Linked DNA regions of Lonchura striata. The protein of the gene in region 4 interacts with the protein of the main gene of each other region in a biochemical or structural test. Links are inferred from orthologs where the notes say so. Each region holds a gene or a part of one and is shown on either strand. Other genes may lie near its edges. The genes, in order: CHGB, GPBP1L1, NUDT16L1 and LRRK1.

Evidence for each region.
Region 1: the proteins of LRRK1 (region 4) and CHGB form a complex in vitro, tested with the Homo sapiens proteins (2 studies listed by BioGRID and IntAct, with this or other methods). The link is inferred for Lonchura striata from reciprocal best matches to the Homo sapiens genes LRRK1 and CHGB.
Region 2: the proteins of LRRK1 (region 4) and GPBP1L1 form a complex in vitro, tested with the Homo sapiens proteins (2 studies listed by BioGRID and IntAct, with this or other methods). The link is inferred for Lonchura striata from reciprocal best matches to the Homo sapiens genes LRRK1 and GPBP1L1.
Region 3: the proteins of LRRK1 (region 4) and NUDT16L1 form a complex in vitro, tested with the Homo sapiens proteins (2 studies listed by BioGRID and IntAct, with this or other methods). The link is inferred for Lonchura striata from reciprocal best matches to the Homo sapiens genes LRRK1 and NUDT16L1.

Annotation. Positions count from the first base shown.
Region 1 is NC_134605.1:440,358-448,200, reverse strand, and holds the start of CHGB (secretogranin-1), read right to left. Parts: upstream 3,004-7,843; 5' UTR 2,902-3,003; coding exon 2,853-2,901; intron 1-2,852. UniProt on the Homo sapiens protein: Secretogranin-1 is a neuroendocrine secretory granule protein, which may be the precursor for other biologically active peptides.
Region 2 is NC_134611.1:13,258,001-13,265,933, reverse strand, and holds the start of GPBP1L1 (vasculin-like protein 1), read right to left. Parts: upstream 3,015-7,933; 5' UTR 2,922-3,014; intron 1-2,921. Other genes in the region: TMEM69 (transmembrane protein 69), read left to right, coding at 4,234-4,278, 4,850-5,569. UniProt on the Homo sapiens protein: Possible transcription factor.
Region 3 is NC_134618.1:4,128,200-4,135,660, reverse strand, and holds NUDT16L1 (tudor-interacting repair regulator protein), read right to left. Parts: upstream 3,006-7,461; 5' UTR 2,990-3,005; coding exon 2,765-2,989; intron 2,353-2,764; coding exon 2,092-2,352; intron 1,166-2,091; coding exon 734-1,165; 3' UTR 179-733; downstream 1-178. Other genes in the region: E3 ubiquitin-protein ligase MGRN1, read right to left, coding at 3,975-4,087, 5,173-5,280, 5,900-5,945, 6,415-6,538. UniProt on the Homo sapiens protein: Key regulator of TP53BP1 required to stabilize TP53BP1 and regulate its recruitment to chromatin.
Region 4 is NC_134613.1:21,622,001-21,629,351, reverse strand, and holds the start of LRRK1 (leucine-rich repeat serine/threonine-protein kinase 1), read right to left. Parts: upstream 3,004-7,351; 5' UTR 2,882-3,003; coding exon 2,815-2,881; intron 2,678-2,814; exon of another isoform or gene 1,878-2,677; intron 1-1,877.

The DNA.
Region 1 (7,843 bases), on a different chromosome or scaffold from region 4:
TCACACCTCCTTACACCAGTTCTGCTGTACCTGGGCAGCTCCTGCCAAGAAACCCTCCGTGCTGCCTGACTTTGCCATCACTGCTGCAATGCCTCCAGCTGGTTCATGAGCTTGGCTGCTGTGTCACTAATAAACTGTGTCAATTGCCATCCACCTGGAGCTTTCCAGGAGGGAGGTTAAGCACCTCTGGCAGCCCCACAGCAGTGTGAGGAAGCAGGGCCTGTTGAATCCTGGCTGTGCAGGTTCCCACACGGTGCAGAATCACAGCACACACATACACACAGCTTGGGCCGCAGCTCTGAAGTCCTGGCACGGGTCAGGAGAGTCCTAAATACAACCATGACCCCTCTGGCTGGGTCAGTGAGAGACCTCCTGAAATAGATGAACACACAGCACATCATGGAGATAAAAGAGCTCAGTTTGACCTCTCAGCATCAGGGGAATGAGCACTGCCCCAAGGAAGACAGGAGCACGTAGCCTTACACTATTTAAAGCAGCATAACCTTTTTATTCTCTGTGCTGGCAGAGGAAGTAGACATCCCCTGGAGCACTGACTCAGAGTGGAATAGCTGAGCATCACACACTAATAACTCCTGCTATTTCTGTGCTCTCCCCCAAACACACACGCAGGGGTGTGCTGCTTCTCCAGCCCCCATCCCTTCCTTCCCTGCGCACACGAGTGCCTTCAGAAGGGAACCCACACAAGGAGAGCACAGAAGGGATTCCCCTAAAATAGCACTGCATTCCCCCAGAGTGCCAGGTGGTGTGTGAGGGGAGATGGTGCTGGGAGCCAGCCCTCTCATCTCTGGCTGACTGAGGTGGCTCCGGGCTCCTTTCCTAAGCCAGTGTGCAAACCATTACCAGGCTGCTGCGGGCAGGAGGAGCAGCAGCACATACACAGGGCAGGGGACAAAGCCCCTCCCACCAGAGGTGCTATTCTTAAAAAGACATCCTCTGGCTCCCACAGGTGTTGGGGATGCTGCCTTTACAGCAGGAGCTGCTCCCAGGCTCAATGAAAGCAGAGCCCCTTCACAGGCTCTTTTTGGGGAGGCTCCTCTGCTCCTCCAGTCCCTGAGAAAAGCTGACAGGCTCCAGGGCAAACATCTGATTTTGTCCTTTTAGTGATGCAGCCACAGCACATCTCCTGTGAGTGATACCCAGGTGATGGGATAAAGCACAGAGCAAACTCCTAGGCATCTTTTCCTACTTCAGGCCACCCCGTGAATGCTGTCAGTGGCACAGAAAGAAAAAGTCAGGTTGTACCCACTGTCCTTGCTGTCATTCAAAAGCTCCCAAGAGCTTGTTTAACACTGAAAGCCAGCATGAACAGAGAGAGAGCATCGTAACAACAGCAGGAGAACCAAATGCTATTGGACAAATGTCCTATTAACCTGTCTGGAGAAACAGAATGAGCCTCCAGCCCATGCCAGAGCCTGAAATCTCACCCTGAGGCAGCTGCCCTGCCAGGGCTGAGCCAGGAAGGCGGTGGGGAGCCAGCAGTGCCCCACTTCAGCCGGGCGTTGGCAGTGCCAGCCCACGCCAGCTGGCAAGAGCTCCCCTGGGGCCACCTGCCACCTGGAGGTGCTGGCCAACACGGCTGCCCCCCTGTCCAGGAGGGGTGAGGCCATCACCATGAAGGGACAGCAGGCTCAGGCAGCAGGGCACCACCCGAGGGCTTGCAGAACACAGCAGACGGAGCACGGCGGGATCCAGAGCAGAGCCAGAGCACCGGCATGGAAACCCTGCACCTGAACACACAGCAGGGAACGAACCACAGCCCCACTAAGCAAAGCCAAGCCCTGGCTCTGTGAGCCCTCCTGAGTCAAGTCTGCCCAAGCAGTTACGATCAGATTATTTGATTTTGCCTAAGTGCTGAGTGGTGATGAATATCATGAGAAATGATAAATGCAGGACAAATTCACAAGGATTTTGCTTGCATCTCCAAGATTAGAATAGATCTTCAGGTGGGTCCCTGATGAAATCCCCACATGGCTTTGTTTCATCAGTGCAGATGACTCAGTGCAGTGTCATTCCTCATCAAAATGTCACAGTGTCTTCCTAGGCAGGATCACTGAAATTCAGGCATATTGATTTGCAGGAGTACTAGAAAGTTCTTGAATTTAATGTTCAACCAGTTCCACATTTGAAAGTGCGACAGCCACGAAGGATGTAAAGAATACCTGATCTGCTTGATGGCATAAATAGGAAAAAATATTTGGTAATAAACCCCCATAGCCTCTATGGTATAAGTGTGGTGAGCTCCTCTGTGTTGGGGTCTCTTCCCCTCCGAATCCCACCCTCCCTCTTTGATTTCAATAACGGCACTTGAAGGCAGTCAACTTCCTCACAGTCTCTGTACAAGTCCCAGAAGCGTGGAGACTTCTAACAGACCTAAAGCCAAAATACTCAACCCAGAATGACACCGACTCTTTCAACCAATGATGTAAGTATGCATAAAACACTGTAGAGCCAAGCCACCACCTCATTCTATTGCGCTTAAGGTTCATTTCACCGTGCGGTTTTAGTATTTAATGCCGCGTGCCAAAAATAAATAAAAAAACCCTGTTGGTTAAACCCGCAGAGCCGCTACTTTGCCATCACCTCCCAGCATCCAGCGCCGGCTGGCAAAACCCCAGCAGCACCGCTGTAAGGAAGCGGCACCGCCAAGTCTTTGTGCGAGGACGCTGCGCTGGGATAAAAATAAAGGCGGAGCAGCGCGGAGCTCTCGCCCAGCGCCATCCCCACCGAGCCCGGGCTCGGCTCCGCACCCTGCGTCCCCTCCCGGAGCGAGCCCGTGCATCCCTGCCCCGCTCCCCGCCCTTCCCGGCGGGATGTGCCCTCGCCCCGCTCACCTGCCAGGGCGGCGGCCGCCAGGAGGGCGAGCAGCGCCCGCGGCCCCATGCTCGGCTGGGCTGGGTCTGCCCGGGCTGGGCTCGGCTGGGCTGGGCTCGGCTGGGCTGGGTCTGCCCGGGCTGGGCTCGGCTGGGCTGGGCTCGGCGGCTCCGGCGCGGTTTAAAAGGGGACCGGGGGCGGAGGAGCGGGCGGGGGGCCGCCGGAGCTGCGTCACCGCGAGCCCCCGGGGGCGGTGCCGCCCCCTCCCCTCCCCTTCGGAGGGGCAACTTTCTCACTGCTCCGGCAAGCCGAGCTCCTTCTCCCCGCCTCGGCACCTACCGCAGCCGCCCTGCCCGCCCCCCGACTCATGCTCCCAACGGCCCTGTGCATCCCCCGCCCCGCCGTGCCTCAGAAAAGGGGCAAAGCGGGGCTTCCCTGCCTCTTTCTCCAGCTCACAGGACGCGGCAGCATCCTGAGGTCCTTCCTCCCGTCAGAGGATGCCGAGCCTCCGCCGAAGGGAGGAGGTGCGGTAACCCATCCCTCTCACACAGCTTCCACAAGAAATCAGCGCCGCGCCTCCACACCCTTTCCCGATCTGAGCCTCTTCAGGTGCTGCAGCCGCCTTTTCTTCCTGCAAGGTTTTGGTCCCTTCCCCTCCTCTCACAGCCTCCCCCCATCCAGTACACCCAGACCCCGAGAACGACTGGGATGTAATCCCAGTGCTTATGGCACCCGGGGAGGCAATGGCACGCAGTATTCCCCAAGAGTTCTAGCAGGGAAATCACAGCTCTCAGCATCCATCTCCGCAGGCAAACCTCTTATTTACTCTGATGATGCTCTGGGGAGCCAGAGGAAGCGTACAGAGATCAAGTTTTACATCGTTTCCTTTAACAGCCCCTGCTGTCCCAATTAATCCTTAGTGGAATACAAAGCTTGAATGACAAGTTAAAATGAGGAAGTCTGAATGGTCCACCCGGTTCCCTTCAGAGACCAGCAAAAAGCAGAATTCCTTTTGGTTTTCATTAACCCTCGGAGGGCCATCTCCAATTATAAGTGTATTTATAGTTTTCTTTTTTCTTTGTCTCCAGAGCCAAGCAGATGGCCCTCTAAGTGCCAGTGTTCCTGGAGGACAATGGATCTATACACCCAGCTGGCAGCTCCCTCTGATATCAGTCTGTGTGCCATTCTATTGTCCATTAACAATGGCAGGCTGCTACAAGCACACAGCCTTTAAAGACAGAAAACAGGACACTAGCACAGTGCCCCAATCCAACTCACCAGCAGGAAGCAGGAATTCCAGCTCCTTTTGAAGCCTGTTTCAGGAGACAGCCTGGAAGGGACACCAGGAGGCAAAGCCGGACACCTTGCTCAGCTTGCATTCAGTTTACAATTTCTGCAAAGTAACAGAAGTCAGTCACCTGGCCACCATGGAAGACAAGCCACATGCAACATCCCCCAGTGTCCCTCCTGCATGCTGTTCTGTGCTGCCTAAGCAGCCCCATCTCCACAGGCAGGAGATCTCATCTTTGGAGATGAGATCTCCAGTCTTGGCTTTAGGAAGTCAAGAACCTGTTACAAAAGACTGACAAATTTCCCTGGCTCCAAGGCCCCCCTTGTCCTCCCCTGTCTGTGTGAGGATTCAGCCTGGCCTCAACTTCTTCAGTTGCTCATGAGAAAGAATTTTAAGTGAAACATTTGCTTTTTATGTGTTCTCTGCTTCTGCAGGCATATAAATAGCATGTTTTGCCATCAGTTACATCAGGGTCTGCATAGGAGCACCTTCACACCTTCAGATTTGATTTTTCAGATTTTTTCAGATTTTATCAGGTTCGAGGTTGCCAAGACCTGCAAATGTTGTAGGAGGTCTCTGACAGGAGTAGGGACAGAACTGGCTGGAGTATATCCAACTCTGTCTTCAGGGTAGGATTCCAAAACAGGATCCCACAGACTTTTCTGCCAGCACTGGAAAACCAGAGCATCCAAGCATCTTGCCCACAGTTAATTAAGTCAGCCTCTGTTTTTAAAGCAGTGTCACTTCACATGGACTTTTACAGCCAGGGATCAGCTGGGGTGAGTTTCTCTGCAGATCAGGAGAGAGCTGTGACTGCACTAAATCAGGATTACTGCAGGCAAAGGCACATTTCATTTGATCAGCTGTGAGTGGCACCCCCCAACCTCCTTTCTCAGATGTGTCAGTACTCTGATCGCAGTGACATCCACGCCTCACAATGTTGTGACAATCTATTGCTCTATGAATAAACAGTATTTATCCTGTGGGATTCTCTCAAATACAAATGCTTTAAAAAATACACATTCGGCTCATGCTAGAAGCTGGAACTTCAAAGGATGACAAGCAAATTTCTGTGCCTGAGCTCCTTCTAAATTGAGAGGAGACTGCATGAGGAAAATGAGGATTGCTCTTCTAATTAGGTGTGCTAGTGGGGATTATCTTCATTCTTACATGCCAATTAATTTTCTCAGCATTAAAACACTGCAGCCCATTTCATGAACAAACTCATCTCTTTCATTCAGGAGGTGCTAAGAGGATGGGTCTAGAGAAAGACAATTGCACCTAAAGGCCACCACCATCTATCCAGTTTCATTAACAGAACCAAAATCCTTTCAGAAACCTTGCCATATGCAGTGCTCATTGCAACTTAAGGGATGATGGAGCTGCACAGCTGAAACATCCTTAGCACATGGTACCAGTGCCCAGCAAACTGAGCTGCAGCTGGGACCCTGTGTGCTGCAGATGGGTGATTTCTGTAGCATGGACAAATACCTTTTTTTGATTTTCTGTATTTATACTGCACCTCACACTGTGGGGTTTTATTCATGCCAGTGCAGAAACAGCTGATGGAACTGACTTCCAGTCGTTCATTGTCAAAAGACTTTCTTCATTAAAAAATCCAAAGTATTTACAGGGTATTTTTGCTTGAGAACCTTAAAAAGTCAGTCCAACTCTTCCTGAATGGTCTTTCTTAGTCTTCTTAAAACAAAGAAAAAATGAGGGCTTACATGTCCACATTTCACAAACAAGCAAACAATTTTTCACATGTGGACATTTCACATGTCCACATTCCACAAACAATCAAATAAACAAATTTTCTTCACTTGTAACCCTCTTCTCTTCCATGTAGGGTACTTCTAGCTCCTGTTTTTCAGTGATGTATCTATTCCATAGAAATGAGGTCAAATATTATATGGCCTAACTGAAAACAGTTTAAAATAAGCCTACAAGGGATGTCATAACTATTAAAATGGTATGAAAAATACATGCACAGACCTGCTGTGGTCTTCTGGAAAAAGCCCTGTGCTACCTGATATAAATCCTCAGGGCTTCTGGATACACTCACAGGCTGCAGAACAAAACAAAAGAAACCACCAAACCCAAAACAGAGGTGGGAGAGGAAGACCAAGTATAAACACAAACACTTATCCAGCATCCCAGGTTTTCCACAGAACATTTTCCCATCTGCTGCTCACACATACCTCTCTTCCTCCTCAGTCATCCTTCTCTCAGCTTGTTAAGTCAGATGGCAGAAAACTGGATTAATAAGTTTAAAATAATAAATAGATAAATAAATAAATAGCATACTTTGGAGCCATGAAGTGCTACTTCCTAGGCCCCTCCCTAGTAGCAACCCTCTGGCATTGCTTGCTCCAGGCAGGAAATGCAAGTTAGCTCCTGCAATTCCACTGGCAAGTGCCTCCATGGGGAAGATGACACAGATGGGAACCAACAAGCACATCTCCTCCTGGAACAGAAAGTTGGAATTTGCCTATGTGGGCACCACTGGCATTTTTAGTCACAAGACTTCATTTTTTCTGTGCTGCCACTTCTCACCTGATTGTCTGTCCAAAAATGATCTGCTGGACTCCAAGTCAAAACCCGGAGTTTTGACTTGAACTGGCCGGTTCATCACTCCAGATGAATTGGGCATCAAGCCAAAATGCAGCTTTTGGATCCTGAGCAGGGGCACAAGCAGCCCTGACAGATTTCTCATGGCTTTACAAATCGGGCTGTGACTGAACCTTCTCCCAGCCTCAGCTGCCACCAATTGCCTTGCTGACAACAGAAGCGACCTCCACAGCCCCGGGCACCTCCTCCTGTACCAGGGAGCAGTAGGAGCACCCAACACCCTCCTGAGCAGACCAGGAGTCCTGGCCCGTGCCCAGGAGCTGCCTCCACACCTCTCTGGGCTGGCTTTTGGAGGACTGGCATCACTGCAGGGCTGAGTTCCCAGGCAGGGGATGCCCAGAGAGCAGCTGGAGATGGCTGGAGCAGCTCTCCCCCTGCAGCTGGGCACGGCTGAGCTGCCACCCAGGTGCTGCCCCAAAGAAAACCCTCCCTCAAACAACCCCTGCCAACCCCCCTGACCTTTATTTACTCACACTGGTCAATTAACCTCCTTGGTGAACTCTGGGGCCTCTGTAGTAGAATAAAGAACAGGATAGAAATTTCTTTCAGCAAGAGAAATGTGGACATGTAAGCCCTCCTATTCTGAGTACTGCTTGTCATTAAGCAAAAAATTACTTTAACAGTTCTCTTTGCACTGCAAATAATTACATTTAGGCCATTAAATTGCCCCATTCAGTGTTTCTGCCTGCTTTTTGTCAACTGTGCATGTTCCATTTAATATTTAAAGACTAGGGCACTACTCTGGCTTATTTAGTAATTAATTTCTTTAAATATTTATAGCACTTTGACTCTCAGCAAGGGTTCTATTTGGTAAGAACAATACTGTTCTGTGGTTGATAGTGTCATGGAAATTTCATAGGCAAATTTCCATTTTGTAACATAAAAACATATAGATTTCGCCACACACTGTAATGGTTTCAGAATAAAATTTTTATTACTGAACAATGTATATACTGAAACAAAAATCCAATTATGCCCTTGCACATAATTGCAGACTGAAAACACAGTGTTGAGAGATCTATTTTATGCCAGCAGTATTCACACAGCAAAAGGAATCACCCAAGAAATTTTCCATCATCCTTTTTTTGA
Region 2 (7,933 bases), on a different chromosome or scaffold from region 4:
TGCACACTTCAATCAGGAATTTCCAGTTTGGAGGGATACAGCCTGATCACTAACGTGTATGATCAATTAAGCCAAAATGCTTCCCTCCCTGCTTACTATACACTCACAGGCCTAATCTAGAACTTCCAGGTTTGCCCAGTGTTTGTACATACACAGGGCAGTGGACACTTAGCCACTATGAATCTCTACCTAAATCCACTCCTAAAACCATAGATATATCTTCTGACCATACAGTAACTCATTAAAGTTTGGCACATTTTCACAGGAACATATAAAGTTACAGTACACAAATTAAACAACATCCTGGCTTTCATGAAGTATTCTGAGCAGGACCATGTTTCTGCTAACTTCACTGCTTTTCATCAAATCTGACGAGCAAAGAGAACATGAACTTCAATTCCTCTTGCTGAAACAAAAGGCACACATGATTGAGTTGGCATCCTGGTCACTAGGTAAGTGAGAGTAAAATGTCTACTTACATTGCTGAATTTGCAGAACCAAAACTAAACAACTCCTGCCTCTACTTAACATAAAACTTAAAAATCCCAGACAAACTTCCTGGTACACACACTACCTCATCAAGTGCAAAATCCAGTAAGTATGACTGTCACTGGGTAAGCTAGAGCAACAGTCACCCCCTGGTTTCTATGGAGCTGTAAGGAAAAGCTGTGTCCATGCAAGCACAGCCAGCACTCGGCAGGAGAGGTGCTTTAAAGCCTCAGCTCTACTGAACAGAGTCAGCCCTTTTCCAAATCTCTTCGTACAGACAAACAAACAAAGCACACCCTGGAGTACACTTCACAGCTAAGTCAATTCAGCAGTTACACAACTAACTTCAAACAACTCCTAACACTGAGGGGGGAAAAAGGTAACTTTAACTCCTGAGCCAATAGTTTTTCTTCATTTTTTAAAGGCAAGAACTACATTATCTGACATCCCACACTCCTGAAGAAATTCACAGATCTAACCACAGCATTTTTCTGTATTAAATTAAGGATCCCATAACTCCTGAAACACTGTTTCCATTTAATGAAAATACTAGTGAATATTATTTTTCCTGTAGTGACTTAATTTCCTAATTTAAAACAGGAACGTCAAGATTCAGTAACACCATGCACCAGTCACATATGTGAAACAAGGTGATCATACCCTATAAATATTGTCAAAGTGAAGATTTTTTCAAACATTCAGAAAGTATGCACTTCCATCTGATTTGTTGTATTTCACATCTGCATTCTGCTCCTCATATTTCTGAGACACTGCAGAAAAAACAGGATTTGTGGTTTTTTTTAAATGCCATCTGTTCCCTGCATATTTTCACTTTAGGTCCTCGTATGATATCTGCAATGGAAACTTCTGTGTCACATAGGATTAAGGCTATAAACCAGATGAGTAAAAAATGCAGAGGGCTACTGCACTTCCCTACAAACAGCTGTAAAAAAACCCCTAACACCATAAGGAAGTATCACCTGAAGCCTTTCTATTCTAAGTACAAAATTTTTAATAAGTTCTTCTTAAAGGGACTTTCCTCCAGAGATTATGTGAAAGAGCGTGAGGAAAAGCTGCTCCTCTCAAATCTGGGAATTTTTTTGCTCCTACCACTGCTCTGCACCTGTATCCTTCCCGAGTCAGGAACTGGAAGTTTGAGATACCAGTCTCCAAATGGATAAGCATTACGGGGAACCTTTAACTGCAATACCAGTCATCTTCATTCATGAAGTAACATTTGCATAAGCTTTTTTCATAACCACCTAACATTTTTATAGAATCAATGTCAACTCTACAGTAAACTCAGCTCTGATGGCGCTCCAATTATCTCAGCTGTTATCTCCATTCCCCCTCTTTGCTATTTCCACACTTTGCTCAGGCACTTGCAACGTTTCAGAGTATTATCAACATTACTAACACTTGTGTCACTCACAGCTCGGGGGCGGGGAAAGGCAGGCTGACCTACCTGGTCATGTTAATATAAAAAGATATTTAAGCAACACTCTTAAACCATTCCACCATTACTTGTAAGAATTTAAATAGCTGCTGTTCTTCTAAAGCTGTTTAAAAACTCGTAACTTGTGCAGACACCTACTGACTGCTCTAAAATCGTTCCAAAACAGCTCGCTACTAAACTGAACTGAATTCAAAGTCTTAAATGGATATTAGAAACGCTAGGCGCGTTCTGATCACGTCCAGCCCCAGCCCTTTAAGTCAAACCACACAAGCCCTTAGGCCAAGGGGGCATCAAACACACCGGACACACGGAAATAACTCGGACGCCCGAAAGAGCCGCCTCACGCTCGGGCCGGGCGCCGTTTCCCTCCGAGCAGGCACCGAGCGGCACCTGACAAGTTCCCCAGCCCCGCTGGCAGCGGGCAGGGCGAGCCGAGCCCCGGCTGCCCGCAGCCCACGTGTCACCGCCGGGCGCCGACCGCCCCTTCCCGCCGGGGGCGGCCGGGAACCGCGGCCCGGGAGGAGCCCAAGGGGAACGGCCGGGCCGCCCGGTTTCGTTCCCGGCCTACAGCGGGGTCGCCCCTGTCCGGTCCCCGGGACTCACCCGCCGCCCCCCCCCACCCCGCCCCGCTCACGGACGGCCCCATGACAGGAGCTGAGCTCCGGCAGTGTCAGCGCTACGAACTTCCCGGCTGCACAGGAAACAATAACCCGCAGAGCCCCGGCCCCGCCGCCCGCCCCGGCCCGGCCCTGCCCGCGGGGCCCTCGCGCTGCCGCCCCGGAGCCGCCGCGGCCGCGGGACCGAGCGCGGGGGGGAGGGGGTGGGGGGGCCCGGCCTGGCGGGAGGCCGCTCCCGGGCCGCACCGAGCCCGCGATGCCGCGGGGGGCGGCGGGGCGGGCCTGGGGGCGGCGGGGGCCAAGTGGAGACGGAGGGGGCGCGGGGGGCGCGGAGGGGGCGGCGCGGGGGCCGCACTCACCGGGCGGGCCCTGGCGCGGCTCCGGCGGCCCCACAACCATAACAAAGCTCTGCCCAAAATGGCCGCCCAGCCCTGCCCGGCCGGGGGCCGGAGGGGGCGGGGCCCGCGCGCGCGCGGGGCGGGGCCGAGCACGCGGAAGGGACACGCCCCCCGGCTCCCCCTCCCTGCCCCCGCCCCGGCCCCCGCGCCTCCCGCCCCACCAATCAGGAGCGGCGGCTCGCGCGGCCCCCGGCACCGCCCGTCGGAAGCGGCCTCAGACTACGCGTCCCAGGAGACTACTCGCCATCTCCGCCGTGCGGATAGGCGGGCGGCGCGCCGCAGGGCGCTTGGGATTTGTAGTCCTCTTGTGAAAGGCTTGCCCGATGCGGTGATGCCGGAAGCCAGAAAGCAGGAACGGCTGCACAGCTCCCCAGGACAGGTTCTGTCCCACGGGCAGGGTGTCGCTCCTCCGCCAGGCCGGCTGCGGCCTTTGGGCTAAGAGTGACCGGCGCTGCTGCCCCCGGTATCGGCTCGGTGGGGCCTTCCGCGGCCCGGCAGAACACGGTGGGCCGTGCCGGTTCCCGGCCGGACCGGTAGCGCGTTAGCACCGGGCGCCGTCGGAGCGCTTATGAGGGCACCGGAAGCCGCCACAGCTGGCGGGTCCGGGGTGGCGGCAGCGCCCGGCGAGTCCTGCCCGCTCGGCAGAGCGGCTCCTTCTCCCTCTGGACTGAACGTATATCCTCCGCTCCCTTCGCCCTCCGGCAGGGCAGTCTGGCTTTCTCTCCCAGCGTAGCAGGACCGGGAACTGCGGAGTCCCACCTTCCCCTGGTGGGTGTCGTACCCCGGCAGGGAGCTTACCTGCAGCTTGCATGGGATGCCTTTTCTGCTCCTTTTTTTACTAGTGATCGCTTTTCCCACGTGTGAGGAATTGTTCCTTTATAAGCTTTGTGAAGCCATTTATCCCTTGAAGAGGAGATGATCCACGAACGGGAAGCCATCACCTGTTCCCTGATACTCAGTTTTTTAACTAGAAATTGTTCTTGCAACAGTCAATACAACTTTAGAATTTCAGCTCACAGAGCTGCTTGCTGCTTGAAACTAAGTATTCTGTAGTGGGCAAGTACTGATTGAATACATATGTTATATATATATATATATATATATATATATATATACACACACACACATATCTCTTTAAATATATGACTCTTGTACTCTTGTATTTGGTAAATGCAGACTGTGACTGAACTTTGGGCATCAGACCAGCTCAGTGATTCATTGGTTTCAGACCTTTTTCTGAATTTTTCTGTTTTAGGACATTGACAAAACAAATATGTTTCCTCTCATACAACGATGCTGCTTCAACACACCTTTCAAAGTAAGTTACTGAAGGATTTTTTTTTTCTGATTTATTTAAAAGTAAAATAGCAAAAGATAGGACTGCAGCTTTGAAAAAAAAAGGTGGCTTCCAAGTTGGAGTGTGTCACTCATCTTTTCTGGAATAGTTCATTTCTACAACACTTTTAGGCAAAGCTATTTCTTTTATCAAGTTTTATTGTCTCAAAGTCTTTTTTTCCTATCATTTCTTTATGGAGTAGTGAGGGGACAGTAGCTGGTTTCTGGGGTGACCTCATTCTGTTTCTATATGAAACTGTTTTATATTTTACTCGGAGGAGGATTGATACATCTTCAAAGAAAATGTGTGGGGAGGGATAGTGGGCACTGAGTAAGCTTTGCTTGTGCACTCTGCAGAGCCCAGTTGCTCTTCATCAGCTGCACTGGGTGCCTTCATTAGTTTAGTTAAAACCACTTGAAATTCAGAAGCAAACACAGCTGTGCTGTGACCTGACTGGAAAACCACTTGGTACAATATTCAGGAGCTTGTTTAAGTACCTGCGGGTCTGTAAGCCTGCACTGTGCGGTGTTCAGAACAAGTTTTGTGCTTGCAGCTGCAGAAGTTACCTGGCCCCAGTCTGCTGCTCCAGGGGAAGAATAAGACAGCCTGCTCTTCCTTGGTCCTCCAGCTGCAGGGATGTGCACGTCCTCTCTCCACACCCCTGAGCCTCAAACCAGCATCAGTTTACACAGCCCAGCTCCGGGCTTTCCACACCTCTCTCCCCATCTCCAAGGAGAAAACCCCTGCAGAATCTGAGGCAGAGCCACAAGAAGACCTGGGATCTCTGAAGGATTGTCCCAAGCCAGCCCTTTATTTAAGCCTGGGGGGGCTAATCCCGTTTGTGGCTGTGCCGCTGGCCATGGCTACGCAGGGCACCTACAGCCCAGAGCTGGCCTTTGCTCAGGTCGCCTACGGTGCTGCCACAGCCTCCTTCCTCGGGGGAATGAGGTGGGGCTTTGCTCTCCCAGCAAACAGCCCAGCCAAGCCAGACTGGCTGAACCTGGCTAATGGCACAGTTCCTGCTCTGCTTGCCTGCCAAGCCCTGCTTTTCAAAGATGTCACTCAGGGAGCAGTGATGCTCACGGTGGCCTTAGGGATAGCGCTGCATTATGACACTTCCCTTCTTCCTCCTTACCCCAGGTGGTTTAAAGTACTGAGGGTAGTGGGAACAATGGTGATGATATTATCCCTGTTGGCCACTGTAGCACTGAAAGCTTTCTTAGAAGGGGAGCAAAGTGATGATAGAAAAACACAGCAGAACATAAATGAATAAGGCATTTGTATGGAGTTCCAGGAGAAATAAAGACTGATTTGTGCTTAGAAGTTGTATGATGGCAGAGATGAAGATGCTTATTCTTGAAGCAAAATTATTTTCCAACTGATTTTGAAGCTAGTTCAGGAGGGAAGTATTGTAAATAGCAATTACTTCCAAGGCAGGCATGAGTCTGCCCTTATCTGTAGAACAAAGAATCTGAATGAGGTGTTGCTGCTCTAGGAATTTAGAATGAAGATTCAAAATGAAATGGGTATGAATTACTCTGTGCTGAACTATGAAAGCATTTAATGACTATTCATGACTGTGACTAACATTTCAAACTATGAAAGTTTGACTGTAATGTGTAATCATGTTCTGAGGTGTGGAAAACAACAGTAACAAGGTGAAAGCAGTTCTAGTTTGGTGTTTAAAGAAGTAGCAGAGCATTATGCAGAAACACATTCTACTCAGTTGTTGTGTTGTGGAACAAGACTCTTACTTCACTCCTATTTTCAGAGGAGGTGCTGAAAGTCACAGAATCCCAGAATGGTTTGGGTCAGAAGGGGCCTGAAAGATCTTCTCATTCCAGTCCCCTGCTGTACACAGGGACACCTTCCACCAGATCAGGCTGCTCAAAGCCCCATCCAGCCTGGACCCTTCCAGGAATGCTGTGTGAGGAAGCGCTCAGTGCGCTGGCAGATAAGAAAGGACAGGTGAGATTTGTTTGTAGTGGCAAGCCAAGGTCAGCACTCACCTGAAATGTGTCATTCAGCTGCTGTGGTGGAATGGGGAAAAGCTGAAGAGGAAGCTTTGTATGGCTGACAAGGTGCTACAGGGGATGGAAGGTGAAATTCCTGCTCAGGCTTACTGAAATTAAAAAGGCTGTTGGAGCCACCTGTTTGTAGATTTTTGGATTTAGGGCTGCCTGGCAAAGGAAGCTGCATGCAACACAGCCATAAAGATCTGCCATACTCCTAAATGAAAGGACTGTTAACGTATGCTATGACACAAGGACTTGAGTGCTGGCACTGAGGGATCAGATAATGGGACTGAAATGGGACTGAGCTTGTCATCTCCCTCCTAAGAATCCATACATTTGGACAGGTACCAACGGGCTTGTATGTGGCCTGCAAATCCTCCGTGATGGGGCTATTACTGAAACCACTGCAGAAGCATATGCTCTCTGTACTTGACTCCCCCTAGTACATCATTTAGTAGAAGATAAAATCTAAGTCACATAGATTTCTTTTTTGTGTCAACTACCTCAAGAAACCTATGAAATGGGATGTGGGCATATTTCTTGTAAGCTTTTTATCAGTAGTAGTTAAGAGCAGTGTAAGATGCAGGAAGAAAGCTGAAAATTACATCCACACGTGGTCTTAGGACCAGATAATCCTCATAGTTCTGTTAAAGCTCTATTCTTCATTGTTCTACATCAAGTAAAGCACATGTTGTCCCTTAACGTTTTTTGTTCTGCAAAGAACAGATGTTTAAGAAACCTGCCTGTCCTGGAGATGGAACCATCTTGTATGATGTTGCTGAAAGAGCAGCTCTGTACATCAGACTCTCCCTTTTGCAATCTGTTAACGTTTGTATGTTAAACAACTTACTAAGCACTTATGGGTATCAGTTGCTCTACACTGAACTATGAAAGTACCCTATTAAACAATATATTTCAGAGCTTTCTGAACATAAAGGAAATAAAATTGAGTTTGTGAATAAAAATGGTTTTTCTATTCCTTCTTATTTAGACATGGCATCTTTTAACATGGGTCCAGAGAAGAGTCCTGTCTTTATCTTGATTAGGTAAAAGAGGTGCTGATGATCAGAGACCATAATCAACCAGCTTTGAAGTTTCATTCAAACATAACAGAATCAGTTATTTCAGACAACTGCAGATTCCCTCAAGCTCCATTAAACCAGAAAGTTAACAGGGATCAGAAGTAAACCTGTAGTTACCAAACTAATAAAATACGGCTAAGGTAGTGTTTCTCAAACGGTTCCAAGAGGGATCCTGAAATACAAATAAGAAAGACTATGAAATATTATCTGTAATTTCATCCCACAGAGGGCTGAATAGAGCTGGCAAGACATACTCCCAAGAAGTCTGAGTTATTTTACACTGAGAAGAAAAATACATGAGTATTTTACTATAGAAGCTTGTTAATTCCACCACTCAAATAATCAAAATTTATAACCAACCTTTCCCTAGTGTTTTACTGGGAAATATGTTTTCCAATAAAAAGAAAAAATTACCTATTATATGAAAGTGGTAGTAATATAGTTTACTAAGTTATGGAAGCAACCTCTTCAAGAACATTCCAGTCAGTTCTGAAAATACATTTTATTATGAAAAACAGTTTAAACAAGCTCATACTTGAA
Region 3 (7,461 bases), on a different chromosome or scaffold from region 4:
CAAGCCATTCTGGAGCACCCCAAACTCTCAAGTGCAGCACCTGAGCCAGCCCACAGCTCTCCTGCCACCTCAGCTCCAGCCCCTCACCTCTGGCCTCTGCTCCCCCATCCTGCACCGCCCTGGCTCTGGGTCACCACCAGCTCTGCACCAGCCTCAAGAACGAGCCCAAGCGTTAAACTTTCAGCAAAGCCATTTATTCCACTTTCCTGCTCCCACAGATCTCCAGGTAGGGACCCACATGAGCATCCCCAACGCCCCAGAGGGAATTCATGGCATGGCTGCCCCGTTGTGCCAGCACCCCGAGCAGGAGCCCGGCCACTAACATGGGCAGAGGTGCTTGACCAGAAGCCCCAGGCCTCAGCTGTGTCCATACCAACACAACCACGTCCAAGTCGAGATGGGGCATTTAAAAAACTGGATGTTTTGTTCCTTACAAATAAAAGGGGGACCTGACAGCAGCAGTGTGTCCCTGAAATCAAAAGCATTATTCTAAGGCTCTGGCACCCTCACGTAAGCACATGAACTCTCTGCAGGGGCTGTGCAGGTTGATCTGGGAAGCTCGCTAAGAGTTTAATGGCCATAAAAATAAAATCGCTTTTCCCTGCTTTAGACAAACCCAACCCCTCCCGGCTGGGCAGTGGGATCGCGTGGGCAGCCATTGCAGCAGCCACGGGTCAGAAAGTTACAAGTCTCTCAGCTCACCCACTTTTAATTGAGCGCCAACACGGCGGCGTCACTCCATCCCTTCAGCCACCGCCTGCTCTGCCATAGCATCAGCGCCCAGCCCCACGTGCTGCTCCAGCGCCTCGGCCTCCCCCAGGCCCTGGCCCTCCAGCCCCACCAGATGCTGCTCGGCCCCCACGTGCACCATGCCCGGGTGCTCTGCCCTCTCTCCCAGCTCGTTGCCCGCTCTACCCAGCTCGTTGCCCGCCTTGTGGTGGTGGTGTCCTGCTGCCCCCCCGCTGTGGTCGATGGCCGCCTTCTTCGGCCTCTGCGTGGCAGCCACCGCCTCGGCCAGCTTCTCCTCTGGCACCATGTTCAGGATCTTCAGGGCAAACAGGAGCTGGAACTTGGCGGTTCCTACGAAGGAGTTGGCCAGGAAGTTGGGCAGCCCGCCCATGCGATCCTTCTGGGTGTAGAGGGGGACACGGACCATGCCCATCACCTGCAACAGTACGGGCACAGCTCAGCAGGGGCCACAGCAGCACCAGCCCCCCCTGCCCCACACCCCCTCAGCCCCACACCCTCACCCAGTGCCCGCCAGCCCTTGTCCCAGGCTCTCCCTGCCCCCGTGCCAGGTCCTGCCCCTCCCTCCCGCACCAGCCCCTGCCCTTGCTCCCCTCAGCCCCACTGAGCCCCGTCAGTGCCCCTGCCCAAATGCCCCCACAGGGCCCTGCTCTCCCTGCCCAGCCCCTCAGCCCAGCCCTGGCTCTGCTCCCCCTTCTGCCCCATCGGAGGGATCCCGCTGCCCCAGGCCACTATGGGGAGTCCCGCTTTCCCCGCCAGCCCTGCCCTGCGTGGGGACACCACGGCTGACCCACGAGTCCCCTCGAGCAGGTCACAACCCAGCGCCCGCTGCCTCTGCTCGGAGGGCTGTTGGCACCCACCGAGCGCCCCGTGGGCACGCGGGAGGCCCTGGCTCTCACGCTCTGCCCCGGCCATCAGCCGGGCTCGGCTGCCCGGGGGCAGGAAGGTGCCCCCCGCACGGGAGGAACTCGGGTCACAGCAACATCACCACACCGAGGTCACGGTCCAGTCCGGGGCACTCGGCCCAGGGCAGGGGGAGATCCCCCCCAGCTGCAAACGGCCCTCGCCCGCATCCTGAGGCTGAGCGGCAACACGGGGATCATCCCTGCGTGGGACAGCAGGAAAAGCTGGAGCTCAAGCTCGCTAAGGTCTGGAGGCTGCGGCACGACCCCGGCCACAGTCCCTAACGCCGATGCCACGGGCGGTGCGGGCACCTGCCGCCGGCAGCTCTACCTGCGGTGCATTCCCCGGCCGGGCTGGCCAGGGCAGCCCGGCAGACCCAGGAGGGAAGCGGTGCCTCCCTGGGCTAACTGAGAGCTCGCACACCCCTCCCGGGTGTCCCACCTCCATCCCGTGGTCTCGGGAATGCACCGCGCTGATCTCGATGGTGTGCAGCTCCTCCAGGGTGAGCTGCCTGGCGTAGAAGTGTGCCACCACGCGATGTGGCCCCTCTGTCAGGTGCGAGCACAGATAGTCAGCTTCCGTCAGGCGCACACAGCCTAAACCCAAGCCCAGCACCCGATTCAGACCGTCCTCCAGGGACCAGTAACGGCGATCCACGAACCCCCCGGGAAAGCCCAGCAGTCCGTCAAATCGCATCTGCATCTGCAATAGAGGCGCAGGGTGTTAATGGGGCACGGCGCGGCCCCCGGCGGGGGGCGAGGGAGCGGCACGGAGGCCTCCGGAGGAGCCGGAGGGGCGCGGGAGGCGTCGCGGCCGCTCCGTCGCGGCACTACCAGCTCCGGCGCATCCAGGACCATCCACCGACAGCGGCCCGGCCGTCGGGGCTCTGCGCCCCGGCCGCACGGACCCGCGGGCCCGGGGGCTCCCCCTCGGGCTCGGGCCCAGCCTGATACTACCGCCCTGAACGGGAACTAGCGCGGAGCCACCGCCCCTCAGCCCGCCGCCCCCGGAGCCCGCGGCCCGACCCAGCCCCGTCCGCCCCGACCCAGCCCGAGGCCCGCCCGCCGCCGCCCTGGTCCCGGCCCCGGCCCGGCGCGGCCTCGCCCCCCCTCACCAGCACGGCGTAGCGCAGCGGGATGCGGCCGAACAGCATGCCCGGGTTGGGCGCGTACAGCATGGCGTGGCACGAGTGGCTCCAGCCCGGGCCGAGCCGCATCGCCTCGTACCGCGTGAGCGGCTTCAGCTCGGGCACGCCGGGCACGCCGAGCGTGGGCAGAGGCGGCAGCGCGCCCATGGCGGGCAGCGGGCCCATGGCCGCCATCGTCCCCACCGCCGCCATCGCCTCGCGCCACCGCCGTCCGCTCCGCGCACGCGCCGCGCCCACGACGCCGCGGGGGCGGGACCGCCGCCCGCCTCGGCCAATGGGAGCGCGCCGCGCGCCGCAGGGCCAATGGGCTCTCGGCAGCGCCCGCCAATCGCCGCGCGGCAGAGGCGGGGCGGCCGGCGGGCGGTCAATGAGGGGCGGGCGGGCTGCGCGCGCCGCTCGCCTTATTAGGGCAGCGCGCGCGGCCAATCCCGGCCAAGCGCGGGGGGAAGGCGGGGCGCCGAAGGGCATGCCGGGAAGGAGGCGGGGGCGGGAACGAGCGAGCCCCCCCCGGGCCTTGGCCACGCCCACGCACCAATCCCCGCCCCGCCCATTGGCCCCGCCCATTGGCCCCGTCCCGCCCATTGGCCCCGCCCCGCCCATTGGCCCCGCCCCTGCCCAGCGCCCGCCCCCCTGCACACGGACTCGCGTGGCTGCTCCACGGGTTTATTACTACAAACATAGACCGGGAGGTGGGGGGATGTGCCCCGGGACCCCCCGCAGAAGCAGAACAAGGCACACGGCGTGGGCAGCGCCGGGCTCTGCGGGACCGGGGGCGCGGGGGTCACCCCGGGCGGGCTGGGACGGGGCTGACCCCCGCGTCCCCCCGTGACGGGCTCGGCGTGGGCCGGGGCTGACCCCCGCACTCCCCCGCTCCCGCGGAGCCCCGCGCCCCGGCAAGGCAGGGAGGGCCACAGTTATGTACAGGGGCAGTGACAGCAAAGGGCTGTGCTCGGTAAGTACAAAATATACATCGGTAATGTCCTTCATCTGCCGACTCGAACCTCGAAGCCCCGCCCCGGCCCCACAGACATCTCCCACGGAAAAACACGACACCAGCCCCTACCCACCGCCAGCCAACATGCACAGGCTGTGCCGAAACCGCGTCGGTGCGACACCCCGCGCTGCGTCCCCGGGAGAGCCCGGCGGGCTCCGGCGGCACGGGCGGGGCCGGCCCCGCTCACGAAAGGCTCTGCTCGTCCTCCAGGTGCAGACGGGTCTGCTCGAAGAGAAGGGGCTGCGTGGGGCTGCCGGTGCCGCGGACGGGGAGCGTCTTGGCGAAGTCGGACGAGCCTACGTGAGGAGAGGGAGTTCAGGCTCAGTAAAGGCAGCCCCGGCGGGTGCTCAGCCATCCCTCCCGCCCCGGACGGACCACAGGAGATGGGGCTGCAGCCGACCACTCATGTCCTCAGAGGGAGGCTGAGTGAAAGGGTGGGACACAGGACACTGAGCGGGGACACTGTCTGCCACAGCCTGGGAGAAGCCAGCAGGGGCCTGGATGTTCGTGGTGCCCCGGAGGCAGCAGAGCCCACGCGCAGCAGAAGCCAGTGGGGAGGGGTTTCTGCTGCCCGGCCTGGCGTCCTGGCACTCAGGGACAGCAGGAATTCTGTGCCAGGAATAGGAAGGGAGCAAGGACAGAGCCAGCAGGGCAGCCCGGCTGGTTTGCTGCCCCTCCTTCTCTGCCCCGGTGGCCAGGACCAGCCCCATCCCCACTCTCTGCCAGCGTTCCCAGGAGGGCCCTGCTGCCCCACACAACAGGGATGCATAAGAAGAACGAGAAGACGTACCAGCTTACTCCTCTATACCAACAGAGCAGGAATCAGGACCAAGTGCTGCCCAAGACAGGAGGGAGGAAGGCAGACAGAGAGGGAAGGAGACATTAGAGAGGTAACTCAGAACAGACTGCGACTCTACGGAAGAAAACAGGCTGCAACGACAACAGTCAGAGGTGAGGACAGCAGTGTCCCACGGGTGTGCTCAGAGCATGGCGCACTGGGACCCTCCTGCCGTGACAACACTGCCCCAGTCCCCAGCTGCTGGCCCAGATCGCTCCCCTCCCTCACCCAGAAGCAGGAGCACACTTGGGAGCACACAGGAGGCCTTTGTCACACAGAACTGTGCTGGGAGGGGCCGTGGCCCAAAGAGAAGAAAGGAGGGGAAGGACAGAGACACGAGGGTGACGGAGGAGGAGAGAGAAGGGGCCATTACCTCTGTATAAGGCCCCCTTGCCCACCGCTCACCCTGCCCACGGGAAGTGGGAGCCCGTGCACCGGGCAGGAGCGCTCCAGTCCCACCCCGGGGCTGTGGGACACAGCTCCACGCGCCCCCCGGCCCTGGAGCCACGGTGGCGGCTCCGGCCCCAGCGGCACGGCCATTACCTGGCAGGAAGACGTCGACCGGGGGGTCACTCTCGGACCGCGTCAGGCTCCGGCTCTCGCCGCAGCCACCGTCCTGCAGCACGTCCTCGACCGAGGGCGGGCGGCTACCTGGAACCAGCCGAGAGCGCGGCCCCTCAGCCCCAGCATGGACCGCGGGCGCTCACAGCCAGGGTGGGTCGAGGTCTTCATGTGAGGAAGCTGCCCCGGCCCACCCAGCCCCACTGAGGTTCCAGGAGTGCCGGTCACATTGGCCCGGGTCACAGTGCCAAAGGGCCACCTCTTCACCTGCAGCCTCGTGGCCCAAAGCGTGCCCATCACTCCTCTCTCACACCCCATCCTTGTCCCCTCTGGGTGCTCACTGAGCACCAGAGACCCATCCCAAGGACCCAGAGGCCCATTCTGTGTGCCCAGTACAGTGGATGTGCTCTCACCAGGACCCCAGTGGTGTCCTCACTGGTGCAAGGAGAGCTCATGGCATGGAAAGCTCTACCTGAGTAAAGCTCAAAGCAAGGCAAGAGGCCTGGCAAATAAGCCAGGGAGACCTGTGGATTTTGCTCCCTCACCTCCAATAAAAGACCCTGGCACATTTCCCTGGTGAAGAACAGTGCCTCAGAGATGGGTTTAGGGGGCTGGATGTTTCTGAGCTCAGTTGTTCATTCCCCAATGGTCCCTGTCCCACACAACAGCACTGAACATCGAGCAGAGGTCTGGCTGCACCCACACCTACCCTGCTGCACCGATGAGGCCTCCTCCATCTCTTCCCCTGCCACGCTCTGTAAGGAGGGACAGCACAGGTTACTTCTTCAGCTGGAGGCTTTGCTGTGCCATTCTCCTGCTCTGGCTTTCTCCAGGGAGCTGTGCTCAGGGCCAGGGCTTGTTCCAGGGCAGGAGCAGGGGGCTACCCCAGTGCTGTAGCACCACAGGCTGGGATACAGGGGTCTTACCAGCACTGGAAGCTCCTAATGCCCAGCTCCCACCCCTACCCCAAACACTGCTGGACTTGGCCAGGATGCTGGGGAAGGTCAGCTCTGCCATTGCTCCAGCTAAGTGGTTTTCCACTTCCAAAGAGATGTCAGGAGCACAGGGAGTGGCTACATCCTTCCCCATGGAGCCCTAGGGGTAAACAAAGCAGCCAAGACTCTTGGCTCTGGGCAATGGCCCCCCAGCAGGCACTTGCCATGTCCCAGAAGCCCCCCCAGAAGAGCTCTGGTTCAGAAGCCCCCCTAGCAAGCACACACTTACCTCTGGAGAGCTGGTCTCCCTCAGGACCAGCTCACCCCCGCTCAGCACCGCCTGCGAGTCCGAGTCCTCGGAGAGCTTCTCCTCATCCTCCTCATGGATCGGGGATGAGGGAGACCGTAGTGCGCTGCAGCAAGAGAAACTCCATTTGCAGGGAGCTGCCAGCACCCTGGGGCCTGGAGGACTTGGGGGCATCACAAGCCAACTCTCATGAGCAGGAGCTCAGACTGGGGAGCTGAATCCACCAAGGCCTCCAGTATTGGCCACATGGAAACAGCAGCAGCAGGGTGGGACAGAGCCAAGTGCTGCCAAACTCCAGCACAGCAACAAGAGGCCCAGGTCCTGTGCTGCTCCTCACACTTTCAGGGCTCCCTTCTCAGGTGAAAATCTGGGCTGGAGCACAGTGAGGAGTTCCAGAAACAGACCAAGTCTGATCTGATCTGAACAGCCCCATATCCTCACCTAACCCCTCCATCACAGGGCCAACAGAGGAGCCCTCAGACAAGAACTACAGGATCTCAATTCAGCACTTTGTGCTCTGAAATCCAAGTCACTCCTCTCCCCATTCCTTTGCTCCTGAGGAGCTCCATGGAAAGCTGAAGTCCAGTAAGGTTTGGACATAAAATGTAAATTTTAGGACTAAGGAAGGAGGCATTTCCAGCCAAAGTCTTTACTATGGGGGTGGTGAGGCCCTGGTACAGGTTGCCCAGAGAAGCTGTGGGTGCTCCATCCCTGGAAGTGTCCAAAGCCAGGTTGGAGAGAGCTTGGAGCCACCTTGGATAGTGCAAGTTGGCCGTCCACAGTGGGGAGTTGCAATGAGATGAGCTTTATGGCCCTTTCCAACACAAACCATTTTGTGATTCTATGACCACATTCTCCTTGTTAAAAATCCTCTTTCTTTTGGTGACAGAGCCAGCCCTTAGGAGACACAAGCTGTAACCTCAGGTTGAACACAGGGACAATGTCCCAGTTCCCTCCCTGGCACAAGCACCTGCTGGCCTCCTAAAATTCTGAGTTAGCTGTGCTAGCAGTGATGGGACCAGCCCGAGC
Region 4 (7,351 bases):
ATCCCACCTCTGAGACACACACCAGTGGCATATGAATGTCCTGGGACTTTGAATAAAATTCCCAGTAAGAAGGAGATAAGCTTTTTAAACAGAAGTACCCTTATGTTTCAGAAGACAATGATTGTTCTACACCTCTGAGGAGCTCCTAGAAAACCACACAAGAATTAAATCCTAGCTATGAAATTTTGTAAGATTCAAAGAAATCAATCAGCCCATAGAAAGGCAAAGAATCTTTATGCTTTTCTACACATTCATAAAGTGATGCCTTTGGGCTTCCATTGTACTTCCTACAAAATTCCCATCATGTCACCTCCTCTGTATTATGCAGAGCTCTTTAACCAAGTTTTTTAAAAAACCCAGACCCTGTACTTCATGAGAGACTGCAGCCACCCCCATATCCCTGCTCAGTTTCTTTTAATTAGGACAAGATGAACAAATCCAGGAGAGGGGGAAGCAGGGTTTGAGGAGGCAAGGGAGATGCTGAGTACACCCACAAGGGAGCCTCACTCATCCTGTGTTCTGGTGACAAGTCTCTGAGGGCTTGGTCAGCACCACCAGGTCAAGCCCAGCACCATCCCCAGAGGGCAAAGAGTGTCCAGGTCTGACACACAGCTCACCCATGCCATGGGAAAGCTGGCATCCTGCTGGGATGCAGGGAAAGCTGGCATCCTCTGCTGGGATACAGGGAAATCACTGGCAACCAGGAGGAACAGCAGAGCAGACACCTGAGCAAGGTGAGCCCCTGCACCCTGTGTTGCATTTTCTAACTAAGAAGGATGCTGAGTGTGATTTTTCTCCACATACAATTGGCCAGGGCTTTATAGCTGCCAGGGAAAAAAAAACTCCTGAAAAATTCTAAGGCTTCAGATAATGAAGGTGCACAGGGAATTGCTGGAAGGGGCCTCCAGCCATGCTGATCCAGCTGACCCACCCCAGAGCCCCCAGCACCACCGTGCTCTGGTTAAATCCCCCACAAGCCAGTCCCTCCTGCCTGACAAAAACAAAAAGACTCCAAACTCTGAGCACTAACGAGGTCATTGGTAGGAAAGAAATGATCCGGGATTTCACTCCCATTCCCAGCAGCTTCTGCTGAATGGGAGCAGGAGGCTGCATCCACAGTTCCTCACCGGTGTAAACAATGGGCTGGCATGAGGAGGCTGAATGAGTCACCGTGCTCCTGCTTCAGCCCCTGTAATGGGATCTGAGCCAGAACAAGGACCAGTAACTTAAGGAGTGGACCAGTTAGCTAATGACAATCATTCTTGGCAGGACCAAAACAGTGAGTTTAAGCATGTACAAAACCCTTACAATGAGCAAATCCACCAAAGCAGTACTGGTGCCTTGTACAGGGATCTTAAGCTTTACAAGGATCCCTTTCCCAGTTTTCCAGCACTGTAGACTATTTTAATATAACCCAGATATATCCATATAGAAGAGTCTACCAGAGATTTGCATGCTTCCAGCTAACCAGTTTAACTGAATATAATTACATAACAGCAACGTGTAATAAAGTTCTCTGAAAAAAATCTGAATTCAAAATGTAAAAAATTTCACTATCCCACTTTCCACTTCATTATTCACTCCTACAATAATTTATTTATTGTATCTTTACACAGAGAGAAAACTTGCCAGATCACTACTGCAGAACAAAGATTTAGCAATTCTGAACAGTTGTGAACCGTTAGCGCAGATTAAAATTCTTTTCATGGTTTATAGCTTAGTATTCAAGTGGAGATAATTTCTTCCAGAGAGAAACTCAGAAGACAGAATTTAAGAATTTAAAAAATATTCAATAACCAAGTGTTACAGAAAGGTACAGTCCTAATTGCCAACAGCAAACAGAAAAATCAGTATCACAGAACAAGCAGAATACGTACGGAGAAAGGAAAGAGTTCCCAGAGCTCCCTGTGACGCTGGTGAGGAATGTCTTCAGACAAGACAAGGAGGCCTCTGAATAAACTACCAGGTTTTGCTTCATAGTTGCTGATAAAATCCAAAATAAGGCTGCAAAAACATTAGCTTCTGCTGGAGCCTGCTTACTCACTACAAAGCGTCAAACACACCTTCTTCCCACACTTCAAACGCAGATGCTGCCTCCTAATGAAGCACTTGCTGCAAGGGGGGAACACCGTTACACAAGAACAGGAGGCTATTTCTTGCTGCAGAAACATAACTGGGGTTTGACTCAGAGAAAGGCAGCAGTGCCTGGGAGCTGAGGGTTGCAGTGAGAGAAACCATCCAAAAATAATTTGCCTGCTCAGGAAAAAAAAAAAAAATTCACAGGAAGCAACCTGAAGCATATGTCCCTTCTAAAAGGAGAATTTCTTTATTACATAAACACAAATGTTCTAATCTAGCCCAACATAAAATCACTGCAAGCCACTGAATAGGAGCTGAGGGTAAAACTGGAGCAGGTTAATATCTGTTCAGGCTGAGAAGAGATGCTCTGATTTTAGCAGCTTTCATATCCTGAATGCCCATTGCATCAGTGACTGGGAACATATTTGCATTCACACACTGAAAAAGCACAGATCTTGTAAAACATATTTAGGAACTGGGGAGACATGATACATATATTGACTAATTCCGTAGGCCTTTGGAGAACATCCATCTTCAGGGGAATGCTATTCTTACCACCTCCATAGTTCAATATCACTCTCCCTGGAAATAAAATTCCAGACTGTAAATTTTCAAAGATCAGGGCTGAAAAAACTTTCACATTTTTAAACTTCATCAGAGCCCAGTGGCTACCAAGTTGTCTTAGAACCTTTTGTTCCCAATCTGAACAGGAAAGAAACAAATCCTGCTATTTACCATTCTGTGGATCCATGTTGCTCTCCCTGCAAACAGTGGATTCCTCCGTTCCCACACACCAGTACATTCTGGGTGGCAGTTGTGAAGGCCCCACAGACAAACTTTCCACAGCACTTCAGACTGAGCAGTGTTGTCAAAGCTGGATGATCCCCATCATGTGAATGCAGGAGCAGAGGCTGCTAGTGAGCACCATCCTGAAGAAACATCATTTATTCTGTTTAAAAATAAACAACAAAACAAATTAATCATTCCACTGTAGAAATAGTGAGATGTTTATTCCTCTCTACTATTAACACAGTTGTCCAAATGTCACACAGCAGAAATACTCTTATCCTATAAATATAATTATTTTCATAATAGCTTTGTTAAGAGCATAACATGAATTAACAGAGGGGACTAACAATTTCTGCATTACAGAAAGATAATGTTCCTAATTTTTCACCACCAAAGCTGCTCAGTCTTTGGGCAGAGGACAAGGGGGTGGACAGGGGTCACAGCTGCAGTTTCAGATTCTCCACAAGCTGGTGTAAAGGCAGACCATTGAAACCCTGCAGTGCAGCTGGAAAAATCCTAAATGCAACCTCAAAACCTCTCCCATCCACAAAGACAACCACAGCTCTTGTAAGACTGTGAGAAACTGAAAAACACTGATGTGGTTACTGAGATAATCCTCTGTAGGAAAGAGAAGAGGGTGAAGAGAAACACACCAGCTCTTGTCCCCTCTGCCAGTCCTTTTTGAGAACTCTCTCACCCTGGAAGCATCAGGCTTCTTCACTCAGGGAGGCAAATCAGGCCCTCAGGAGCTATTAAAGGTTGGCTTCTTGTGAACTGCCTGGTATAACAGGCAGCAGAAAATTGCACAGCTCAGTCTCCCGAGGCACTTCCAACTCCTTCCCTTTTCACAGTGGCACAACCACCCTTCAACCTCTTCGTACAGAGGCTCAGGCTCCTGGAGGATTTGCAGTGTTTGTCCAACCAGCATCAGAGCTCCTTCATTTTCTGCTTTCAGTTTCAGTCAGTAAACGCCTCTCAGATGTGACATGATGCACCTCAACTGACTCCTACTGGTTCTTCTCAAGTCTGGTGTGTGATGATGAAGTTCTGATTTGAGGCTCTAGCTCAGCAAAGCTCATAACCCACCTCCCACTCCAGCCAGCAAGGCCCAAGACCCTCCCTGACTCTCGCTGAGCAGAGCTGACTTCCTGAACTGGGATCAAAGGCCAAGGGGAATATAAAAATATGCTGATCCATCACTACTATCCGGGAAGCTTTCTGCTCCTCCCTCCTTACACAGGGTTTCAGCCAACAACACTAAAAATCACTACATCCTGTTTCAGTTGTTTTTAGGCAAATATTTGAATTTTAGGTGCACTCAGCTTCTGCTGACCTTGACTTTGCAGTGCCTGGCAGCAGCAAAAAAGATTGGCACCCCTGTGCCCTAGTCTGGGCACAGGGTGCTGCAGGAGGCTGAGATGGAGGTGATCCTAATCCCAGATCCAAGCCCACAAAGTGGTGAATTGCACTGTGTTGGTGAAGGACTGAATTCTGCCCTGGAACTGGTGCTGGTGCTTCTCTCCTGGCCTCAGCTTCCCTTGACAACGCTGGCAGGAGGAGCTGGGACCACACATTCCTCCATGCCACAGGTGGGATGGCCCAGGCAGAGGTGTCAGGAAGGCTCTCACACCTCCCCAGAGCTGTCCAGGGTGTTCACTCTGGCAGTGGAGGGGATGTGATGCTTCCAGCAGCTGCCTGCCCTGTGCCCTTGATGCACTGAGCAGCTCCAGGGAGAGTAAACACTTCCCCATGCACACTCTGGCCCACCAGCTCTGCAGCAGATGATGGTTTCTGAGGCACTTCCTTGCTCTGAGACGGGGACAAACCATGTGCACCTACAGCAACTGTACAAGAAACACTGAATGGGGGCTAGCATGGACCCCTGAGGCTTGAAAACCACTCCACTCCTGATTTTTTGCTGTCTACTCAGCCTATTCCCCAGGCTGAAACTTTCCTCTTATAAAGTGAAAGGAAAAATAATTTTTAGGAAAAATAGTGGTGTGGTTCTGGTAATCAGTTCCTTTAACTGCAAGTAACTGAATGCTGTAGCCATGTATATGACTGCCACACAGCGCCCATGTAATGAGGATTTCTGTATTTCAGGACCTTTTTGTATAAATTTTTTTAAAACCCCTACAGAACTTTACCTTAAGCAAGGTGCACTTGCTGTAAGGTTACAACTGTAACGTGCAAACACCACACGTATTTGATTTAGAGAGTCTATGTGCTCTGCAGAGTCTCGTTCAGAAGGAGAGGGGCCATGCAGAATACACCTGAACAGGTGTAAATGGGATTTACATCCCATTTCACACATTCCCAGCCCTGACACCTCCTACTGCACACACCTGAACCACCCACTCCCCTCCCCTTCACCATCCCGCCCTGTCTGACCCTGTGCATTGTGCCTAAAAACAGGCTGCCAGAAACATCGCGGTTAGCCGAAAATGGCTTGCTAATTGATAAAAACCCCTGATAAAACTTCAGTGCTTTACCCAAACCACCTGTTGTTTCTGGCAGTCCCACTGGGGCCCGAGAGGCCCAGGTGGAAGGCGCTGGGGCTCTCCCGCCCGGTGCCCACGGCGAGCCTGGGGCCGCGGTGCCAGCCCAGGGACCCCCTGCCCGCCCAGGGACCGCGTCCCTCGTCCCGGCTGAGCAGCGAGAACAAAACCATCCCCTTCTCGCACAGCCCGGCCGGCTGGGGGGTCACCAGGCGCTACACCCCGTTTTGGGGGGTCTCTCAAGCCTTTCCAGCCGCTTCCCAGCGGGCTGAGGCGTCCCCTCACAGCGCGTCCCGCCGGGCGGGGCGGCCGCGCCGCTCCCGCGAGCTTCTCTCTGAACTTTCATTTTCTTCAAAAACAAACTCCCGCTCGCTTTCCCCCTCATTTCCACCTGCAAAGCCCCGGCAGCCCCCCACTCCGACTGCCCCGGCAGCGGGGCAGGTGCCCGAGAAGCGGCAGCAAAGCCACGGTACCTCCGCGCCCCGGGCCGGCGCTCCGGGCGCTGCCGCCGCCTCCTCCTCGCCGCCCGCGCCCCGCTCGCTCCGCGGCCCGGGAGCGGAGGGAGCCCGGCGGCAAAGGCAGCGGGACAGCGGCTCCTCCTCCGGCCCCGCGGCCAAGGGCGAGTCCCCGGCACGGCCCCTCGCTGCCCCGAGGGCAGGGCTGGCCCGCGGCAGGATGGAGCTCCTTCCCCCGAGCCGACCCACACGCCCGCCCGCCCCCGGGCAGCCCTCGGGCTCCGAGGGTTGAGCTGTGTGGGCAATGCCAGCGTGGGAGTGGCGGTGGCTGGGGAAGAGCGCTCCCGCAGTCCCGCAGGGCCCGGCCTTACCGCGGCGCTCTTTGAAAGTTGCTCCTTCCCCGACCGCGGCGAGCTCGGTGCTCGCTGGAAGAGCAGAGCGAGGTTGCCCCCTCGCTTCGGAAGGAGCCGGCCCTTCCCCAGGCTGACCCGTTCCTCTCCAGGAGCCTGACAAGCCAGGGATTGCTCCGTTTACCCCACTCGTCGGATCAACTAAGGGAAAAAAAACCCAATATTTCCGCGTGCCTTTTGCTTTGCTGTTCGCAGCCATTCTATAAATTAAACACAGAGGATGTTTTTAGCCTGCTCGGTACCCAGCGATGGGTCACTGCTGGTCACCCGGGGGTGGATGTGCGCGCACAGAACGGCTGCGGGAGCCTGGGGGTTCCTTTGGATGGCACAGATGGGTGTTACCGGTGCTTTTCCCTGTGTTCAGGCCACCATCACTCTGCGTCCAGTTGCAGGCATAGGTAGAGAGCTAGAACGTACCAACACTATTGTTTTCTGGCTTTTAACACAGTTAAAAAACAGCGTTACCTGTTTTCAGCACCTTTCCACTTCTTAGCCAGCCTGCTCCCTTTTATGCCTCACAGCCCAGCTCTTATCCAGACCTTTCTTACCTCATTTTTAGCACAATGTTTGAAAACACCCTAAATTAACTTTTTCCTTTATTATGATAGAGCCTCTAATTTCCTCTGGCAATAATTTACCCACATATTCAAGCTAATTTCCCGCTTTTTCCCCTCCCCAAATCTCATCCCACTCTTCCTTTTGTCTCCATTGATTGTGTCACTCACAGTAATGCCTCTGTATCTTCAGCCTTTCCTTCTCTGGAGTCTGAAAGCTTCTGAGTGATGCTGTCAGTGAGTGGAAAATTCAAGGAGTTTGGCTTGGCCTGTGTAGGGAGCCCATAGGAATTTCTCACACATCAGATGGGAAGAGAGTTAAAAGACAATGGAATGTTCTTGCTCTGTATCTACATTGCAGATGAGAGAAATAAAACTGGGCTGGGAACACATTCAGCAGAGCCACACTGGTGCTGGATGTGTCTCAAGGGGTTTAGGGAGCAGCCAGAGCAAGGCAGGAAGCCCCATCTGGCTGCAGGAGCCAGAATGTCTTGAAACACTTCATTTTGAGGCTCACCTCAGAAGGAAAAGAGGATCCATCCAACTTTGTGCTTGCCCCTGCCAGC